2 linked regions of the Tribolium castaneum genome follow. Each later gene encodes a partner of the first gene's protein in a complex. Links are inferred from orthologs where the notes say so. Each region holds a gene or a part of one and is shown in the gene's direction. Other genes may lie near its edges.

The links.
Region 2: eIF3g1 (region 1) and eIF3k share a complex: the UniProt entries of both Caenorhabditis elegans proteins name them as parts of the eukaryotic translation initiation factor 3 (eIF-3) complex. The link is inferred for Tribolium castaneum from reciprocal best matches to the Caenorhabditis elegans genes eif-3.G and eif-3.K.

The regions. Positions count from the first base shown.
Region 1 is NC_087395.1:17,787,922-17,790,784, forward strand, and holds eIF3g1 (eukaryotic translation initiation factor 3 subunit G), read left to right. Parts: upstream 1-1,232; 5' UTR 1,233-1,349; coding exon 1,350-2,195; 3' UTR 2,196-2,244; downstream 2,245-2,863. UniProt on the Caenorhabditis elegans protein: RNA-binding component of the eukaryotic translation initiation factor 3 (eIF-3) complex, which is involved in protein synthesis of a specialized repertoire of mRNAs and, together with other initiation factors, stimulates binding of mRNA and methionyl-tRNAi to the 40S ribosome.
Region 2 is NC_087402.1:8,161,683-8,164,851, reverse strand, and holds eIF3k (eukaryotic translation initiation factor 3 subunit K), read left to right. Parts: upstream 1-1,569; 5' UTR 1,570-1,676; coding exon 1,677-1,729; intron 1,730-1,789; coding exon 1,790-2,009; intron 2,010-2,061; coding exon 2,062-2,436; 3' UTR 2,437-2,481; downstream 2,482-3,169. Other genes in the region: Syx13 (syntaxin-12), read left to right, coding at 398-597, 644-1,050, 1,104-1,282; gem-associated protein 8, read left to right, coding at 3,025-3,034. UniProt on the Caenorhabditis elegans protein: Component of the eukaryotic translation initiation factor 3 (eIF-3) complex, which is involved in protein synthesis of a specialized repertoire of mRNAs and, together with other initiation factors, stimulates binding of mRNA and methionyl-tRNAi to the 40S ribosome.

The DNA.
Region 1 (2,863 bases):
AATTTGACTCACCTAAAATTATTTTCAGGTATTATAGGGTATTTTTGAAATTAGCTAAAATGCAAACATATGTTTTTTTAAATAGAACACCCTATATTTTTTTGCACTTTTATATAATTTATAATAATTTTCAAAGAGGACTAGATTTTTTTTTGATTTTTTTTTCAGTTTTAAAAATTATTTTCAGAATTAGATAAAGCAGTGACCGCATTTTAAAAAACTTTCTCGCCTACAGCCCGAGTAAAAGAATGTATCCTGGAAATCAGTTTAAAAAATGTGCTGTAGAACACTGTGGAATGTGACCAAAATTCGACTCTTTTTAGCTCCCTTTATTATAGTTTGGAACACATTTCTTTGGCAACCCATTGAATACATCCTTTGGATATTATGTTTGATAAAAAATAAGTTTCATCCAGTAAGCAGATCGGTCCAGGACGACCTTAGCTGGGATCCTCTATTAGCAAAATCAAATTTTTTAAAATCACGTTGCTCAATTTTTACATATTTCTCTGAATGGACGAAAATTTAATTAGATCTAATTTAGCATTCCCTTTATACATAATCGTATTTTTATTGGATTTCAGAGACATTTCAAGTTATTTTAACTCAATTTCTCTTTTTTATCTAAGGCGGCGCAGAATGTTTCTTCTCTAGAAGGCTGTGAAAGATTTTTTCTAAAGCAACAGAATCGTAGCCGTAGCCTTCTAGAAGGATACCTAAATTTTCACAAATGTCTCAATTGGCGACAATACATTTATAAATAATAAGCTGCATTTCTGCACATCATCAGAAGCAACATGAACCAAAATATCAACTATTTTAATGTAGGTATACTTACGGCGTTACACAGTTGCGACAGAAAGTTTCACAAGCAAAAAAACTTTATTATAGCCAATAAACGGATGCAAATTTAACACTCCCGACACAAATTTAACTAATTTAAGAATGCAAAACATTAACTATTGGCAAAAGAACGCAAAACACAAGTCACACATTTTCTGTGTACAAAATCTAGTAGTTGATGGTTTTCAAAGCCACCTTTCCGAATAAGTTTCCCAATTTTAAAATTTCATTACAGAATCCTGTAATTATGTGTTTGTGGGTTTGTAACACGACAGCCCCGTTTGTCGGGGTTTATTTATTAATCGGTTTATTAAATAAATTTTAAAATACATGGCTTTATTAAATATCAACAAAATTAAATTGTATTGCAAAAAACAAAAATAAATAATTTGCAACGAAATTCCCCAAAGGTTGGCGAGTCTGTTGTTTGACAGTTTGAGGTTAACTTTTGTGAACGTGATTGTCGCACCATATTTTCCAAAAAAACGTTTCAAAATTAGCTAAAAATGCCTGTTGCCGAAGAGGTCAAGTCCAGCTGGGCTGACGAGGTGGAGTTGGAGGGCGGGTCGCTCCCGCCCCCGACCGAGGTGTACGAAAACGGCTTCAAGATCGTGACCGAATACGCGTACAACGAAGACGACAAAAAAATGAAAATCGTGCGGACCTACAAGATCGAGAAGCGCGTCGTTTCAAAATCGATCGCTTTCCGCAAGACTTGGAAGAAATTCGGCGAGTGTGCCAACGACAAGCCTGGCCCGAACCCGGCCACCACGATCGTCGCCGAGGACGTGTACATGCAGTACATCACGAGCAAGGAGGAGGACAACAAGCAGGAAGACGACGCTTTGGAGAAGCTGAAGGCTCTGGGCGACAAGAACGTGGTCAAGTGCCGCACCTGCAGCGGGGACCACTGGACCTCCAAGTGCCCCTGGAAGGACACCATGCTGGCCGGGGGCAAAGTGCCCGACGACAAGAAGGGCCCGGCGGTTCCGTCAGGGTCGGATGCGGGCAAGGCCGGGGGGTCCAAGTACATTCCGCCGAGTTTGCGAGATGGGGCCGTCAGGAAGTCCGATAATCTCAATATGGCGCGCAGAGACGACGCCACGGCGATTCGAATCACCAATCTTAGTGAATCTACCACTGAGACTGATTTGGAGGATCTGGTGAAGCCGTTTGGCCCGATCCAGAAGTTGTATTTGGCGAAAGACAAACAAGCCGGTTATTGCAAAGGATTCGCTTATATTCATTTCAAGTTTAAGAACGACGCTGCTAAAGCCATTTCTATGCTTAATGGACACGGTTATGATCATCTTATACTCACGGTGGATTGGTCTAAGCCACACCCTAATTGAAATGTATTTTATAAGTTTTATTTGTATTGAATAAAAATGCTTTAGCTAATGTTGCGTTTTTTCAAACCTACAATACAACAAAATACGTAGACATTTCAGTTTTAAATAATTCGAACAGAGGTGAAGATTGGTACAGGTCTTAGGTACACTATTAAAATAAAATATAGAAAATTCTCAAGTGTTGAAACTATCAGCTCTTAGCATTTTTCGCGTAAACGGTAGGTAAACATTACGGTAACTTCTCGGAAAAATAAAAAATCCCAAGCAATTGAGTTTTTTTAACTCGAGAGGTTTGTAAAGGCATACAATACCTGATAGAACTTTGCTAAAGCTAGTTAATTGTTTTGTTTTTTTTGAAAAGGTAAAAAATCTTAGACAATAGTTTAAGAAGTCTGCAAAATATTAACTATTGCTGGCTAATTTAGCAAATAAATAAGGTTGGTTTTTGGTTATAAACTAACCAATAAAAATAAAATAAAAGGTTAATAAACTAACTAAAAGATTTATTAACCAATCAAAGAACCTTCTGGTTATTTAATATTAATAAGTAATAACTTGACTGGACAATAATTAAAATGCGAATATAGGATTTTCCTTTTATTTTTTTTTCGATTTTGCTTTTTAAACTTACGTTTATTTGTGTCAAAACAAATACTAAAGCAATTGTT
Region 2 (3,169 bases), on another chromosome or scaffold:
TGCAATGTTTTTTAAAACACAAATAAGATTTTTTTTACAAAATAGCAGGATTATGTGGTAGGGTCTTGTTATCATCTTTTTATATTACAGTTTGAAGTATTTTTTAATAAAAATCGAATCGGTAGGTATTCGGTAATTTTCAATTTTAAATTTAAGTTGCACCAACCTAACAAGATTTACAAAAATAATTTAGGGTGTGATTTTTTTAACATGTATTTTTAAAATGTGAGGTATTTCAATTATTCAACAATAAGCTAATTTTGTTTCATCCCCGAGGCCACAATTGAACTCACCCCCTTGTTATAACAATAAGTCACCTGATCTTTCCTACTCCTAACCTCAGTTTTAAGTTTACGAAACGTCAAATCACAAACGAAAAGGGGCGTCGAAGACAACAATGAGTAAACATCCCTACAATTACGGTGCTACTGCGTCCACTGACGTAGGTTTCATCGGTAAGCGCTCCCCCGAATTCAATAATTTATGCGATGGCGTCGTAACAAACATTTACACAATCAACTCAAGTCTCAAGACCTTAGACAACGCTTTAAAAACAATCGGAACCAGAAAAGACAATCAGGGATTAAGAAGTTCAATGTAAGTCTTTTCCCTTCTGGAATTTCAATCACTTCCCTAATTCTAGACACGTCACTCAATTGAGCACAAACCAGATCGCATCAGTCACAAGCAAAGACATTCACAAGCTCAAGCAACTTGTATCCAAAAGCGAGAAACAGCAGCAGTTGCAAGTAGAAAAGTTAGAAGAGAATTTTAAAGAAGCGATCACGCGCTACTATTCCTTACAAAAGGACTTGGCCAACAAGCAGAAATCACATTTATTGGTTTCTGTAAGCATAGAAAATGACTACACGCCGGAAGAAGACACAGAACAGCAACGGCAAGCTCAGCTTGCACGCGAAATGGCGTTTGAGCAAGATATGCTCATGGAGAGAGAAGCTAGGATTAAACAAATTGAAGCCGATGTACTTGATGTTAACGAAATCATGCGCGAATTGGGGTCCTTAGTGCACGCCCAAGCGGAAACAATCGGTATTGAGCTAACTTTTAAAAAAATCGGGAGATTAATCAACTCTTTTTTTAAGATACTATTGAAAATAGCATAGACCATGCAACTGGCAATGTGGAAGAAGCGACAGAACAGTTAATTACAGCAGCGAGTTATCAGAATAAGTATAGGCGCAAGTTGCTATTCATGGTACTGATAGGACTTGCAATAGTTGCAATAATTATTATAATACTAGTTGTACAGTTTAAAAAGTAGCTGCGTAATATTACTTTTCTTTATAATTACTCAAACCTGTTTTTGTGGTGAATAACTGCTTGATATATTTATATACAGTATACACAGACTTTTTATAGCAACTAATCTTATCATAGAATTTATATTTATTTATGTAATTATCTTAATCACAAAATATGAATGATATTTAGTTTTTTTGTATAATTATCCATAAAATTCTATGAGAACCGCAAAAAATAAGTAGTGACATGAAACACTCTGTAGTTAAAATGTAGGCAACACATAAAACAACAGTTCCCTATCGCTTACAGCGGCCTCTGTTCCAAAAACTTTGAATTTTAAACGTCATTAAGACGTGTTTTTTGAGAAAGTTGTGCTTTTTTCTCATTTTTTAGTGAAAAACAAATTGAAAACCATGGCCGAAGCAATGAAACAAACTGTGGCAGCAATGCTTAAAGGCATTGAACGGTATTGTTATTCTTTTATTACGTTTTTTTACCATGCATTGGACTTAACCTCTATTTTCAGGTACAACCCTGATAATTTACCGACTTTGGAGCACTACGTGGAGATACAATCGCGCGAAAATGCCTACGATTTAGAGGCTAACTTGGCCGTCCTTAAATTGTACCAATTTAACCCTAGTAGCTTCAATATCGACATCACAAGTCAAATCCTGCTCAAGGCTTTGACAAACCTTCCAAACACGAATTTTATTTTGTGCAAATGTCTTTTGAACGAACGACAGGTTAATAAATTCAGTCAATATATTTGTTTTGCAAAAAAAAAACATTTTTTAGCTGGCGGAAGAACCCATCAACCAAATTATCTACTTGGCCGACATTTTGGAACAGTGCGATTTTCAATTGTTCTGGACCAGAATCCACTCAATGCCAGAGTTGACCCAACGAATTACCGGATTTTTAGACTCAATCCGGAAATTTGTGTGTCACGTAGTTGGAATCACGTATCAGACCATTGAAAGGTCCCATTTGGCCGAATTATTGGGAGACGTTGATGACCTTACGTTGAAAGTCTGGGTCAATAAGTATGGATGGAAGGAACAGGGCCAGTTGATTTTCATTGCCAATCAAGACGAAAACATCAAAACTAAAAATATTAACGAGAAAATCGATTTCGAAAATGTCGGAGCCATTATGGCTTCATGTCGCTGATTTGTATTTTAATTTTTCAATAATAAAATAAAACTACTTCGTGTCTACGGACCTCTAAATGCTAGGATACGAAACGACCAAATAAATCGTCCCCGTCCTTGATAGTTCCGTTAATATCACCAGAGAGCGCAGTTACTTGAGTTTTCAGAGCAATGAACTTGAAAAAATGGTTGCATTTGTGTAATAGTTAACACACAGCAATAAAAAAATACAAGCAAATTGGGGATTAAATTTCAATAGTAAGACAAACAATGCAAAAATTTTATCGTAAATTATATTTTAAATAAATTAAAACTTTTGGCACTGTGTCCCATATTTTTCAAAAGGCTGCGAATACGCTTACAGATACAAAAAAGTGTAAGGAACAACGTTGTAAAGAATTAAATTTCCTATCAAAAAATTCGCGACACCATATCTTTGGCACTCAAACCGTTGATGGTCTCCCAGACTTTTTAAAGGAAAATATAAATTTCTTCCTTTTATTTTATATCTTGTTTCGTCTCCTACAGAAGTAATAATCTGTATTCGTGTGATTGTTTCGGATGGGAACCCCCTCTATGTACAGTCCTGCGAATGAAGTTATACAATATGGAAGATGGTTAGTTCTAGTGTTTCATGCCAAACTCTCAAGACCAGAGTTCGAAAAAAACACCGCAGGTCCTTTAAAAGTAATTTAAACCGGCGCTCTCGCAGAAAAAGTAGTTTATTGAGGTACTACAGTACGATACGATTT